2 linked regions of the Struthio camelus genome follow. The protein of the gene in region 1 interacts with the protein of each later gene in a biochemical or structural test. Links are inferred from orthologs where the notes say so. Each region holds a gene or a part of one and is shown on either strand. Other genes may lie near its edges.

Region 1 (7,966 bases):
GGTTCTCCAATTCTGTATTCAACAATAAATGTAAACAAAATCCAAGTGAGAAGAAATATTTGGGCTCCTAAATAATTTTGAAAGTTTTAGTATTAGCATACAAAGTGGCTGGCGTAAAAAAAATAATTTTAGTGAGTGCATTTTAGCTTGCCTTTTCAGAAGGAAATAGGAGGCAAGAAAAAAAGTAATATCTTCCGTAAAAGACAAGGATTCTCTTGCCAGCTTGTTTGTTTGTTTTATAAAGCAAATTCCACAATTCACCTGCAAAGTCCAGGTGAATTCTTCCTTTTATTTCCACGAGCGAGTGAGTATTACAGCACTCAGTAAATATCCAGGAATTCAATTCCTTACTCATCAGCTCACTAGGTTATATCAGATCTCCTGGTCTTGGAAGCTGCACCATGCAGAGACTACAGATCTTGCAGATTAAACCCTTGCTTAACTCAGTTTTGCTGCTCACTTAGGCAAGCCTCTCTCAGGAGATCAGCACATCACGCTCCGAATTCCCTTAGAGGGAAATCCAGTGTCTCCTTCTTGGGATCCCAGGCTGATCAGGTCCACTTAGAGTGCAATCTTAAGGCATAAAGGAATTTGCTATATGGATAATAGAAATAGGAACACACTATTTTACTTTTCCCTAAATTTACCTTTAGCAAGAGAAACCACTGGTTAGAAAAATATGGGCTTTGAATCGTAAGATTAGTGGGGAAAATTAGCCATAGGGTTCTATGGGATTTATACAAACTTAAAATAAGTTTAGCCAAAAACAAACAAACAAACAAACTTTTCAAAAGCTTGATCTACATTATTTAAGCAAGTGACATTTAGTGATTGTTTTCTGACACAGCTTCTGAATTTAAAAAAGTTTGTATCTGTATTTTCATACAATAGTCAGCTAATGGAGAGGGATACCTCTTTCACAGAATCTATAAATCTCTGGGTAGGGCTTTATTTATTTAAATTTCAAAAGAGGCATCTCATCAGAGTATGTTCTGGATGGAATTCACATTAGATGTTTTATAACAGGAAACCACAATATGATTTTTTTAGAGATTCTAGTAAAACATTCATACACTTTAGCCATAGGTATTTTCTCACATAGAAATTTGTATTTTCACTGTCTTACAGTATTTTGATAAAATGTTTTCTGAAAAGCAAATTGATAAACTGTCCTCTACCAGGAAAGTAACCAAAGCTATAGCCAAGCCATTTATAGAAAACTAAACATTCAAATAGGCAAGAGATTGCTTCTCATGGCCTAGCCCCATAATGGATACTTTTATTACACGGATTTCCTAAAGGGCTTCTGTAAAACATCTTATTCTTCCTCTAAATTAGAAAAATGAACATCTCTAACTTTCGAAAAGCTAAAATTGGTAGATATGGAAAATATTTAAAAGAGGCTAAAATGTATAAGGTTTTGAAAGAGATCACTAACAGTAGGCCTCATATGCATTCAGATTTTTGGCTATGGTACATTGATTGAAACACATACTTGATGACTTGCGAATGTACTATGATTTACTTCATTTCAAAAGGCATTAATAAAAAAACCCCTCTGTTAAAAGTGTTTCTAATAGTAAACTGCATTGGTGCATAGAATTCTGCAGCAAAGTCTTCATGCTATACAGCACTGCACAAGAATGAAGACAGGTTTAAGTACTTTGTTTATTACTAGCTATAGTAAATACAGCAAGACCTTAATAAGTTGTCAAGTGCAGATATTGCATAATCTAATATTTGTTCCTATTTACTGCAGAAATATATAGAGTTGTACAGAAGAGCCTAAAGAAATCCAAATGTCAAAAAGGCTGAAATGGAGAAGCGTGACCTTCCTTTTTGATCCCTTTTGGGAAAATAACCCTTCGAAGAACAAATAAAGTCTTGCTTGTCTTTTGATTCTTTGATAAATGATTATGCCACTTATGTATATCCACACAAGAGCAGCTTTAAGAAAATAAAACACATTCAAAGCTGCTAACTTCCTCTGTTCATCACTCAAGAATAACCTATAGCTGGGATTGTTGAACAAGTACAAGAAAATTCTTCTTAAAAAAAGCCCTTAGCTTTCAGGACTCAAGTGTCAATTTTCTGTGTTATTCAATTTTTTGTGTAAGTATCAAAAGCATCAAGCTCATAAATATTTACTGTTATACTGTAAATAATACCAAAGATACTAGTGCAAGTATCCACGTGAAGAAGTGCTAACCTCTTCATGGACACAGAATTTCAAGTGGGCACTAGCTCAGCCAGAGTGCACAGAAGAACTTGTAAGAGTCATTTTGGTGTCTGTTGTACCTACTACAGTTATCATATTAAACGTTCAAGTTATTTCCTCTCTCCACCTGAAAGTCTATTTTCTTTCCTCCTAATTTTTGGAAGGCTTCAGTTCACAGCCTTTTTTTGTAATTTCAAATGTCAATTATTATGTACAGCTAGGCACCCAAGCAAGATACACTAGAGAACTTTGCAGCAACACTTTTTATAAGCTGCCGTATTTGTGTTTGCTTAAATAATTCCTTTTTTCCATTACATGTTTTGTTAACAATATTTATTTACATTCTACATGTTGAATAAAATCCTCCAGGTCAGCAAGGGAATTACGAAGAGAATCATTCGCATCTTGACTCCTGAGAAACCTTCGAAGGGTATCTAAAGCGCTCAGAGCCTCATTTTTTGATGGCAAAGGCTGTTCGGCTGCCAGAGATGCATCACCTTCATCACCACCTTCATCATCAACAGATGTCCCAGCTTGATCTGAAGTGCTTTTTTTGGCACTTTGAAACATCCTTTCATTATTTGCAGGCATTTCACAAATTGCCAGACCATCATCCAGAACTGCATATTCCTCCAAAGATAAACCTGCTGGAAACTCTACTCCTGCTGCCAGTGCATGTGCAATCAAGTCAAAATCACTTTCAACCTCTGTGTCATTATTACCATTTTTCTCAGTTTCTATCTTGAATCCTGCTTCACTGTAACTTTTAACAATAGTCTCTGGTGTGACTTGACTCCAACACAGGTGCAACATCTCAACCGCATCAAGAAGAGTCAGCATAAACTCTTTACTTCCTATTACACAGTCAACAAATCTCTTGAAAAGACAGTGCCTGTATTTAACTTTCAAGCTTCTGATAACCCCTTGTTTCATAGCTATACATGAAGAAGCGTCTGGAGGAAAGAACACTAAATCAATAGCCTTCAGATGCTTTACCTCTGAGTGCGCTGGGAGAGGATCAACAAAAATAACGACTCGTCGCTGCTGTGCTTGAAATCTCTCATCAAGTTTATGCATCCACTGTTCAAACACTTCTGAAGTCATCCAGGCCCTACCATTTGCTTCATAATCCACCGGTAGCGACTTCACATCTTTGAAACTGCACGGACTTCTGTTTTTTCCGATAACAAGCAAAGGAAGCTTCTCGGAGCCATCCATATTCGTGCCAACCACAACAGTTATTCTCTCTTGGCTTAGCTTACCAACAGAACACGTTTCCCCTTTAAATGAAAATGTATTATTAGGTAGCATCTGATACAACAGCCCAGTCTCCTTTACATTAAACACGTTTTTTGGCTGATAGTCATTCAAATAGTAAGGAAGAACATTTTGGTACCAAAGAGTCAAAGCGTCCACCGTAGCAGTTGCAGCTGCTCCTACCGGCTGAGCTCTGAATACTAACCCATACCTTGACTTGAAACGGTCAAGCCAGCCGTTGCTGCACTTAAAATCACCATGGCCAAGCTTCTGGGCAAAATCGTTCGCTTTGAGGCGCAACATAGGACCATTTACCGGCACATTCAAGCACTGAGCGATTCTGTACCACTTCATTAATGCCTCCTCCAGATCGGTGTAAAAAGCAGTCCGCAGTCTTTTCCTTTTAGGATCAAATCCCAAAGATTCAAAGGCTTCCAAAACTTTCTCTTTATTCTTCATAATTGAAGACAACGAGTTCTTCTTTATGCCGTACTTTGCTGCCACGTCTGCCTTTCTCTTGCCACTCTCCACCGCGCTGATGATGTCAATTTTCTCCTCGATAGATATGCTTTTTTTTTTCCTTCCCGCGGGCAGTGGCGAAGGGCTCCCCGGTGCCTCGGCCATGGTGCTCCGCGTCGCCTCGCGGATGCGCACGTACGCGCCCCGCTCTGTCGCTTTGGGATATCAGCGGCTTTAATTAGACGGATGCATCCTGATGTCACGGGCATCGCACTTGGCAGAGTCTTCGCGTTTACAAGTGGCACGTAACTACCGACTCGGTGAATTTTAACTCCGTGCATGCCTTTGGACGGGAAAAGGATTTGCGCGCCCCGCTCGAGGACGGCTGAGGCGAGGAGGCCTGGCAGCGCGCCTGTGGGGCGGCTACGGGGCGGGGGGGGGGTGAGTCTCCGCTCACAGAAGCGGGAAAAGGAATGAGAAGTGAACCTAGAGCCTGAACGTTTTGCGGATTTATTTTATTGTATTTTATTTATTTCCCCCTGGATTCACATCCCCCCCCCCCAGTTCGCCTGCCGTCGCTCCCTCTCCCGGTGTACCGCGCCTCTTTCAGGTCGCGCACGAGAGAGGGAGGACAACAGGCACGGCAGGTCACGCCGCCGTGCTGGACGTGTGCCTGCCGCCTCCAGCGCCGCCGGCCACCCGCACCCAGCCGGCCAGGGCTGATGGCCCAGGGCCCCCCACAGCCCCGGGCTGCCGCCCCCAGCCGCCGCCTGAGCGAGAAATGAAAATACAGGCGGAACCGAGCCGGGCGGCGGAACCCGGCGCAGAGGGAGGCGCTGCCGGGGGGGAAGGCGCACCGGGCGGGAGGCGGGGCGGAGGGGGAAGGTGAGGCGCGGTGGCCCCGGATGTTGTTGCTAAGGTTACCGCTTGGCCGGGGGTGGGGGGGGGGAGCGAGCATAGACACGCTCCTCGTGGGCTAGAGAGGCGAACGCGTGTCCCCAGCGGGGCCACCGTCGGCCGTACTTCCGGCCAAGTACTTCCGGCTCCAGCTGGAACCGGAGAAGGAAGAAAATAAAGCTCGAGACGGGGCCCGTCCTGCTCGCCCGCCCGGTTTTCCTTCCTTCCTTCCTTCCCTCCCTCCCTCCCTCTCCCCCCCCTCCCCTCTTCCCCAGCGCGAGGCACCCGCAACGGCAGCAGCGCCGCCCGCAGGTGAGGGCGGGCGCAGCACAGGGGGCGCCGGGCCGGGCCGTTGGGCCGGGGGCGGCGGTTGGGCCCGGCGCGCGCCGCCCCTACGTGTCCCTGGGCCCGCCGGCCTCCGCCCGCCGGTGCCGGCGGCAGCGCGGGTGCGGTGTGGGGCCGTCGCAGCGCAGCGCAGCGCAGCGGGGCGGGAGCGCGGCGCTGCTGGGCGCCGGCTCCCGGCCCCGAGAGGGCAGGCGGGGCCTGAGCCCGCGAGAAGGTGGGTTTCGAGGGAGGAAAAAAGCGGGGAGGGAAGAAGCTTTACAAGCTGTGTACGTTTCAGGCTCCCAAGACTTAGGCCACCCCCTTAGACTTACTGTGTTACGTGTTCAGATTTGTGTTTTGCCGCCAGCTTACTGTGCTTAATTCACTAGCAAAGCGTGGAAACACCAGGGTGTTGTGCAGCAAGCAGGTGTTGTGTCTGTCATTGCTTGCAGCCGATAAGCAATTCTGCTGGTTACTTAGAGTGCATCTTTGATCTATGCCTTTTAACTCGAGCCAGTTCATAGCCTTTCATCTCACTTTCCCTGGACTGGATGTAGTTTCAGTGCCTAGCATGTTCTTTTTATGCTTAGTGGAGCTGGTAACAAGGCCTTGTCATTTGCTGTCACCGGCTTTGTTATCTGTATAGTGGTTCACTAGAAAGATACGTAAGGGTCTTTTGCAGGGCTTTTGCAGGGTCTTTGCACACTGCAGAAGGATGCAGTGTGATCAGTGTGGCACCAAGGCTTACAACTGTGATACATCCACTTTGTTGTATTTCTGTATATATGCATGCATGCACGCACATATTTAACGTGTAAGAAATAGATAACACGGAGGAACATTACATTGGAAAAAGTGGAAGCTAAGGTAATGTCTTGATCACTTGGCTCTATCTGTTTTCATAGAGGTCATAACTGGAGCCTTAGTTAATCTGGAGAGGAGCAGAGTGTTAAAAAGGTTAGGGACAGATTGGCCTGGGGTAGGGACTGTGGATATTAGTTATGGCCTTGACCCTGATCTTCCTCTCTGTGGTGCCTTGTAACTCTCATAGCAGCATCGTTAGCTCTTATAAGCGTAACTGAAGCAATGGAATAAATTGACATATGAATAGTTATTTCAAAAGTGAAATATGAGAGAATCTCATTCTGTAAAGTAGACTTTGGTGGGTTTTTTTGCTTTTTATCCTTCCTGTACCTAACAACAACCAAAAAAGCCACTTATGTTGATTGCCTATAGGAGCAGCAAGGGAATTGCAAGAGTATGAAGAGGAAACCGTGCTGTGATTTGCAGCAGAAAGTGTGTAATGTAGTTCTTTTAAATTCTTAAAAAAAAGAACTTGATCTTGGCAAAACCTAGTATTCTTCTTGGTAGGCTATAAATCAAAATTTAAAAAGTATGTATTAAATCATTATTCTCCATCAGTACTTACACTGGCTGCAAAGTTGCAAAACTTGTCTTGGTTCTGCAGGCAGCGGAGTAAGAAGACAATAATATAAGCGTATAATAAATGTTATTTGGACAGAAGTTATCTGGATTTTACCTTATTAGCAACTCCCTTCTCAACAGAAAACCTTAAGTGAAGAAGCCAAGGCATCCTGCTTAGAAAGGCAGAAGTACTGTTGAAAATCCATTTCAGTCCTGAGACTGAGGTAGACATTCACTTAGGTAATACAACTACATTAAGAATAAACCCTTTATTTAAAAGAAATTTGTTGCTGATATCATGTTTAAATCATAAATGGACCTAATTCCTAAGCATGCTTATATAACCACTTATTATAATTGGTTAAATGTCACCAAAATCTTCATCCTAGTTGAACCTTTGCTTGTTGTTTATAGTTTGTTTCTTACTTTGTCAGTTGAAGAAGTGATATGTAACCTCCCAGCATTTAAAAAAATCATGCGCGTTTGTTTATGCCTTGCAGAACTTAAAATGAGTGAGGGTGCAGTCTGATATGCGTTTAAGTTGGCACTCCTTTGGGATGTTGTTGGGAGGTGGAAGAATCTCACTCTATTCTCTACTATTTCTTCCTGTTCTACTCTGGTACGTGTATTTGTTTGGCTTTGAGGTGAGCTGAGTAGAGAACTGATCTAGTTAAAAAAATAAACAATTAAAGTTATCCAGTGGAGTAGGAATGATGAGAACAGGATGGATTCTGCTTTTTGGTCAGGGTTATTGGCTTTAATTCGTATCAGAATATAGGTCAATCACTTTCTTCCAAGTAGAACAACTCTGAGCTGTTTTCTGTGAGAGTATTAAGAAATCTACCTTCTTTACGATCTTGTCAATGAGGGATGAATTGGCTATTGACTCAGAAGAGTAATGTGAAAGAGTAGAATTGCTGAGACATTCTGTAAACTTAGTATCTCTTTGGGTCAGAGCTCCTTTCAAGTCCTCAAAAGCTCTATCAAGAAAGATGGTGAAAGAAAGACGAAAATCTCTTTGCTGCAAGAGATGGGCAAGATTCCTTCAAAATCCTTTTTGAAAACAACCCTTGCCAAACTTTCTAGTCCTGTGTCAGTCATGGATGCTATATTCAGTTCTTAGAATTGCAAAGTACTTGTTCAGTGCTCTTCTGGATGCCTGTATTCTGGGCTTGATACTGCTGGCTGGTCTCTTTAAAGAGGACTGACTTGTAACATATGTTCTTGGTTGTTACTAGGGAAACTTCCATCAGAGCAGGTGAGAAGATGTAATTTTCTTTGTTTTCGACAGGCTCATCTATCATTTATTTTGAACTATGTTCTTGTAGTTCTTCCCGGAAGGAAAGTAACTTCTTGTTTCTTGTAGCTTTTAAAGTAAATATTTAA
Region 2 (7,273 bases), on another chromosome or scaffold:
GGAAAGCCGGGCTGGGCTGGGGGGGGACACAGGGCCGGGACTGTTGTGGGGAGAGGGTCCCCACCTCGGGGGTGGCAGCAGGGACTGAGGCAGGAGCTTCCCCCCGCCCCGAGAGGGCTGTGCTCATTCCCGCCTGTGCCCCTGCCGTGCCTTCTTCCCCCCCCCCCCACACAGCTGGGAGCCCTCGGTCTCTGCGTGTGGCCATGGGTGGCGATGGGGCCCTGGCCCCATGGGGAGCTCAGCCCCGCGTCCTCCATCCCTCCGCCGGACGCGGGCACGCTCCCAGGCATGCGTCCCACCTGCAGGCGCCCCCGCCGCCCCCGGCACAGCATCGTGGGGGGCAGCCAGGGCCCCGCCGGACGCCGGGGCCCCGCTGGGAGCGGGGCTCAGCCGTGCGCGCTGAGCTGAGACCCCGCAGCTCATTGCAGGTGCAGGCAGGGACGGGCGGCCGCACGCTCGGCGCTGGCACCTGCTCCGCCCCGGCCGCCCCCCACCGCCGCCTCCCGGCCGCGGGGGCCGCTGCCCCGGGGGGGCGGCCGGGGCCGGGCGGCGGCGGCGGCGGCCGGGCCAGGCTCTCGCCGCGCCCTCCCGCCGCCGCCCCGGAGCGGCTCCCGGGGCTGAGGTCAGCGGCCGCCGGGAGGCCCCGGGGCGCGGCCGGGAGGGTCTTGGCCGGGGCCGTGTCACCAGCGGCGGGGGCCGAAACGCGACCCCCTACCCCCCCCCGCCAATATCCACCCCCCACCGGAGAGTCCCCGGCGAGCGCTGGCCCCCGCTCCACCGGGCGGCCGGGGCTCCCGGGCGCCCCGCGCAGCTGCGCCCGGAGCGGGCCAAGAGCTGACACAACGGGCGGCCCCTCACCGCCGCCCCCGGCCCCCTGCGCCCCTCCGCCGCTGGGCGCAGCCTCTGCCCGGTCGCCGCAGTGCGCCTCTCGCCCGGTGCCTCCGGGCGCCTCCCGTCCACCCCCCCCCCCGCCCGGACCCCCCGCACCCTCCCCGGTGTCCCCGGGACCGGCGCATCCCCGCCTGGTGCCCCCCGCTCCTCCCCGGTGTCCCCGGGACCGGGGGCACCCCCGCCCGCTCCTCCCCGGTGTCCTCGGGACCGGGGGCACCCCCGTCCGATGCCTCCCCGGTGTTCCCGGGACCGGGCGCACCCCCGCCCGCTCCTCCCCGGTGTTCCCGGGACCGGGGGCACCCCCGTCCGATGCCTCCCCGGTGTTCCCGGGACCGGGGGCACCCCCGCCCGCTCCTCCCCGGTGTTCCCGGGACCGGGGGCACCCCCGTCCGATGCCTCCCCGGTGTCCCCGGGACCGGGCGCACCCCCGCCCGCTCCCCCCGCCCGCTCCCCCCGCCCGCTCCCCGGTGTCCCCGGGACCAGGCGCACCCCCGCCCAGTGCCCCCCGCACCCTCCCCGGTGTCCCCGCTCGCCGCCGCACCCTCCCCGGGGCGCCCCTCTGCTTTCCCCGGGGGAAGCGGGGGGCACCGGGCGGACACCGGGCGGGCACCGGGCGGGCCGTGCCCCGGGGAATCGCGGCCCCGCCGCCTCGGGCCGGCCGAGCCGGGGCCCGCGGCAGCGCGGAGCGGCTCTGGCAGCCGTCGGGGCGGCCGGTGCCCCCGGTGCGCCCGGCCTTACCTGCCAGGGGCGGAGAGGCGGGGGCTGTCCGGGGGCGGGCCGGGGCCGGGACCGGGGCCGGGCCGGCTCCGCACCGAGCAGGCGGAGAAGGGGCGGCCCGGGGCGGCGGAGCGGGGCTGGGCCGGGAGCGGAGGCGAGGGGGGGCGGCGGCCCCGGGGCAGGGCCGGCGGGCCGGGCAGCCGGGGGGGGGGCTGCCCACCGGACGGGGCGGACAGGAGGACACCTGGGCGGCTGCAGGGGGGGGATGTGCCCGTGGGACGGGGCCTCGTGGGGGGGGACGAGAGGGGACGGGGGCAGCCAGGGAGGCCCTGGGGGTCCCGCCGGGCCCTCACCCACCACCTGCCTTTGCCTCTGCGGTGGGTAGGTCAGGGGGGGCTTGGGTGCCTGGGTCCCTCCTCCTGCCCCAGGAGAGGAGTGGGGCCGGGTGGGCTCAATAAGGGGGGTCTCGGCTTGGCTGGGGGCAAGGGAATGAGGTCTGGGTTAGGGCACCCTGGGCCCGGGACGCTTTGGCGGGGAGCGCGTGTCCCTCCTGCTCCTTCAGCGTTGGGTTTTTCCCGCGCAGCCCCGCTGCTGCCCGCCACTGCAGTGCAAACTGCTGGCTCCAGCCCCAGGGGAGCGGGGTCCCCCAGGACCAGTCGGTGGCAGTGACCCCCAAGGACCCCCACAGCCAACCGGGCAGGGCCTGCGCACCCCACAGCGTGGGTGCTGGGTGGGCACGTGTCCCGCACACGTGTGTGCTCCCCACTGCCAGTGGCGCTGTGGGGGGCTGGGGCCCCGGACGACTGGGTCCTCTCACAAGCACCCCGCTCCTGCCCCATGGCTCAGGGCAAGGAGGTGCCGGAGCTGGAGGTGCTGAGTGCACCCGGCACCCAGCACCAGTGAGGATCCAGCTGGGAACAGGCCGCATGCGGCAGCCTCGGCCCTGCGAGGTGCCCAGCCCCGTGGAAGCACTGGTGCTGGGCCGGCTGCAGCCTGGCTGGCCGGGGCAGTGCTGAAGGCCATGCAGTGCAGGGTGTCCCCAGGGCTCCCCCGTGCAGTGCAGATGTGGGCCGTGCAGTGTGGTGCATGGGGCTGTGCAATGCAGGGGTGCTGTGCAGTGTGGAGGGGCTGTGCAATGCACAGGCGTGCACCGCACTGCAGGGTTGTGCAGTGCACGAGGGCTGTGCAGTGTGGTGCAGGGGGTTGTGCTATGCACAGGGGTGTGCACCACAGTGCACAGGGTTGTGCAGTGCACGAGGGCTGTGCAGTGCGGTGCAGGGGGTTGTGCTATGCACAGGGGTGTGCACCACAGTGCACAGGGTTGTGCAGTGCACGAGGGCTGTGCAGTGCGGTGCAGGGGGTTGTGCTATGCACAGGGGTGTGCACCACAGTGCACAGGGTTGTGCAGTGCACGGGGGCTGTGCAGTGTGGTGTAGGGGGTTGTACTATGCACAGGGGTGTGCACCGCAGTGCACAGGGTTGTGCAGTGCACGGGGGCTGTGCAGTGTGGTGCAGGGGGTTGTGCTATGCACAGGGGTGTGCACCACAGTGCACAGGGTTGTGCAGTGCACGGGGGCTGTGCAGTGTGGTGCAGGGGGTTGTACTATGCACAGGGGTGTGCACCGCAGTGCACAGGGTTGTGCAGTGCACGGGGCTGTGCAGTGTGGTGTGTGGGGCTGCGCAGTGCACAGGGCCGTGCAGTGTAGTGCAGGGGGCCGTGCAGTGTGGTGCAGAGGGCTGTGCAATGCAGGGTGTCCCCATCTGGGACTCTGCAGCCCCCCCCACCGCACACCCTGCTGGGGCACCCCAAACGCAGTGCGGGCGCACTTCGTGGGTGCGCCCGGACACTCCGGACCCCGCACCCACCCCGCACACCCGCTGCACCTTGTCTATGCACCCCCACCGGGGTATGGGGGATCCCCCCAGACCAATTGCGCACCCCACCATCTGCACCCCCATCACGTTCCTCGCCCTGTGCACCCTCTCTGCTGCGCCCCCGGCACCCCATCATGCATCACACGTTTGCGCACCACCGTCAGAGAACCCCCCCCAGCTTCTCGCAGCCCCATCACGGACATCAGTCCTGTGCACCGCTGCCTCCTGCACTGCAGCCCCCTGCATGCAGCCCCCTGCATCCCAGCTGCATGCACCCCTGCCCTGCAAACCCTCATCGGTGCACCCCAGCACCATGCACCCCCATCGTGGACCCCAGCCCCCGGCACCCACACCTGGGTACCCCAGCCTGGAGCACCCCAGCCTCATGCAACCCCGCCGTGCATCCTACCCCGCCGTGCATGCCCCACATGCACCCTAGCCTCATGCGCCCTAGCCCCCACGCACGCCCATTGCGCACCCCAGCCCCATGCACCCTCATCGCACACCCCAGCCCCATGCACCCCCCTCACGCACCCCTGCCCCATGCACCCCCATCGTGCACCCCACCTCCTTCCCCCCGTGCACCCCAGCCCCATGCATCCCCATCGTGCGCCCCACCTCCATGCACCCCCGTGCACCCCAGCCCCGCGCACCCCCCCGGGTGCACCCCCACCCCCCGCACTGCTGCAGCCGCTGCCATGGCAACGGCTCGCGGCTCTCGCGAGCTCCGCACCCCCCCGCGCCCCCGGGCCCGGTACGGGCGACGCGGGGGGGGGGGGGTGGAACGGGCGCTCTCGCGAGATCCGTGCGCGCTCGGGCCTCCGCTTCCGGCCGGCGGGACGCGGTGCAGAGTCAGCTGGGGGCGGCGGGGCGCGCACCGGCACCGGCACCGGCACCAGGTGCGCGGCGGCGGGGGGGGGGGCGCGTCCACGCGCGAGGGCATCGCGCGGGGGCGCGGCCGCTGCAGCGTGGGGAGCCGTGCAAGGGAGGGAGGGCTGCATCGCACCGGGGGCGGGGGGGTGGGGGGGCTGCACGGGGTGCGATGCATTGGCGGGTGCGTTGCACCGGGGCAGCGGTGCATTGGGGAGGGAGTCTGCATTGCACCCGGGGGAGGGGGGGGGATTGCACCGGGGGAGGGGCTGGGCAAGGCTTTGGGGGGGGGGTGCGGTGCACCGGGGGAGGGGGCATTGCACGGGGGAGGCGGGAGATGCACTGCACCGAGAGGGGGATGCGGTGCACCGAGGGGGAACGTGCGGTGAATTTGGGGGATGCACTGCATGGAGGGGGCACGTTGCGCGGGGGTGTGTGTGCAATGCATTGGGGGGGGGGAATGCATCGGGGTTGCATTTCAGTCCGGGGGGGGAATGAGGTGCAAGCCGGGGGGGTGCATCGTACCGGGGGTGGGGGGTGCAAGGCGCTGGCGTGTGCATTGCACCGGGGGGAGGAGTGCAGTGCGTTGGAGGGGTGCAGCGCGATCCGGAGGGGGCTTTGCATCCGAAGGAGGGTGCCAGGAACAGGGCGGGGGGGCCATGCAGGGCGGGGGAATGCCTGCCTTGTGGGGGTCCCACGGGGCTGGGGGGGCTCCACCGGTGCCCCGGGGCTGGCTGGGGGCAGTGGCGCTGCTGGGCCCAGGAACCGGGGCTGCCCCTTACTGGTGGTGCTGGGGACACCCCGCTGCCTCTTTGGGGGGGCGGGTAGGGCTGGGGGCTGGGCTGTACCCCCCCCCCGCAAGAGCAGGAGGTGGGGAAGGGTCAGCAACCAGGACGCCTGGGTTCCCCTGCCAGCGCCGTGCCTCGGTTTCCCCTCCGCGGGGTGCCATGCCTGGGATGCCCCTCTGCAGGCTGCAGCACAAGGGGGGGCCCTGCCGCCCCCAGGGTCCCCGGAGCAGGGCCTGGAGCCCTGCAACCCCCCCCAGCATGTGAGGGGTCCGCGAGCCCTGCACCCCCCCCAGGGTATGGGGGGGTCCCCAAACCCTGCAGCCCCCTGGGGCATGGGGGATCCCTGAGCCTTGCACCCCCCCAGGGTGTGGGAGGTCCACAAGCCCTGCAGCCCCCTGGGGTGTGGGGGATCCCTGAGCCCTGCAGCCCCCCCCAGGACACGTGGCCACCCCCAGCCCCACTGCTGGCCCCCGCGGCCCAGCGCTCGCCCTGCACCCCCGCAGGATTCGGCCTTGCCTCCGGACGGAGCCAGCACCGCCGGCACCATGGGCAACATCTTTGGGAACCTGCTGAAGAGCCTCATAGGGAAGAAGGAGATGAGGATCCTCATGGTGGGGCTGGACGCCGCCGGCAAGACCACCATCCTCTACAAGCTGAAGCTGGGCGAGATCGTCACCACCATCCCCACCATAGGTGTGCGGGGAGGAGGGGGACGCGCCGGGGTCCCCTGCCCATGGTAGGGGTCTGCTCCTCCCTGCCTCGGTTTCCCCACCCGGGCGGCCCTAAGGGCAGGAGGAGCCGAGCTGGGACGTGGGGACGGAGGGAGGTGGCCGCGCGGACGCCGGGGAGCGCGTGTGGGGCGGCCGCCTGGGCCTCAGTTTCCCTCCGCTGTCGCTCCCCGCAGGCTTCAACGTGGAGACGGTGGAGTACAAGAACATCAGCTTCACCGTGTGGGACGTGGGTGGGCAGGACAAGATCCGGCCCCTCTGGCGGCATTACTTCCAAAACACCCAGGGTAGGTCCCCGCAGGGCGGGGGGCCAGGCCGGGGGCCCCCCGGGGGCTGGGGCAGCCCCGGGGCGGCACCGTCCTGCCCCCCAGCGCCGTGGGCTCCGTCCCCCCAGGGCTGATCTTCGTGGTGGACAGCAACGACCGGGAGCGGGTGAACGAGGCGCGCGAGGAGCTCATGCGGATGCTGGCGGAGGACGAGCTGCGGGACGCTGTGCTCCTGGTCTTCGCTAACAAGCAGGTGGGGCTGGAGCGGGGGCGGGACTCAGCCGTGCCCGTCCCCGTGGCGTCGGGGCTGGGGTTTCACAGGCTCCGTGTTGGGGCCATACTCATCCCCGTGGCATCGGGACCGTGCCCATCCATGTGGCGTCGGGGCTGGGAGCTAACAGCCCCATCATGGCCCTGTCCATCCCTGTGACCTCAGGCCTGGGGTATAGTGGCCCCCGCAATGGGGTCGTGCCCATCCCCATGGCATTGGGGCTGGAGTTTTGTAGCCCCTGTGGCGTCAGGCCTGTGCCCATCCCTGCGGCATTGGGTCTCGGGTTTAGCAACCCACATAGTGGGGCTGTGCCTGTCCCTGCGGCACCAGGGCTGGGGGTTAGCAGCCCCGACGGTGGGGCCATGCCCATCCCCATGGCGTCAGGGCTGGGATGCAGCAGCCCCTGTGGCGTGACCACGCTCATCCCCATGGCACTGAGGATGGGATTTCGCAGCGCTCCCCCCCCCACCACCATCAGGACCCTGCCCATCCCCATGGCATCAGGGCTGGGATTTTGCAGCCCCCTCCAGTATCAGGGCTGAGCTTTAGCAGCCCCCGTGGCAGGGCCGTGCCCATCCCCGCGGCGTTGGGGCTGCGGTTTAGGAGCCCCCGTGATGCGGCCACGCTTGTCCCCGCGGCGGCGTGGCTGGCGGTTCAGCTGCCTCCCCACCCCCGGCGGCGCGGCCGTGCCCATCCCCACGGCGTCGGGGCTGGGGGGGGGGGTTATCAGCGGCCGCCGCGGCGTGTCCGAGCCCGGCGCGCGACGCCCGTCTCTGCCCCCAGGACCTGCCCAACGCCATGAACGCGGCGGAGATCACGGACAAGCTGGGGCTGCACTCCTTGCGCCACCGTAACTGGTACATCCAG

What was found. The genes of interacting proteins can lie anywhere in the genome.
Region 2: the proteins of ARFIP1 (region 1) and ARF3 form a complex in vitro, tested with the Homo sapiens proteins (2 studies listed by BioGRID). The link is inferred for Struthio camelus from reciprocal best matches to the Homo sapiens genes ARFIP1 and ARF3.

Annotation. Positions count from the first base shown.
Region 1 is NC_090945.1:38,491,668-38,499,633, forward strand, and holds the start of ARFIP1 (arfaptin-1), read left to right. Parts: upstream 1-4,959; 5' UTR 4,960-5,143; intron 5,144-7,966. Other genes in the region: TIGD4 (tigger transposable element-derived protein 4), read right to left, coding at 2,552-4,099. UniProt on the Homo sapiens protein: Plays a role in controlling biogenesis of secretory granules at the trans-Golgi network. Mechanistically, binds ARF-GTP at the neck of a growing secretory granule precursor and forms a protective scaffold.
Region 2 is NC_090969.1:994,636-1,001,908, forward strand, and holds the start of ARF3 (ADP-ribosylation factor 3), read left to right. Parts: upstream 1-4,270; 5' UTR 4,271-4,382; intron 4,383-5,641; exon of another isoform or gene 5,642-5,644; 5' UTR 5,645-5,686; coding exon 5,687-5,834; intron 5,835-6,045; coding exon 6,046-6,156; intron 6,157-6,263; coding exon 6,264-6,388; intron 6,389-7,189; coding exon 7,190-7,273.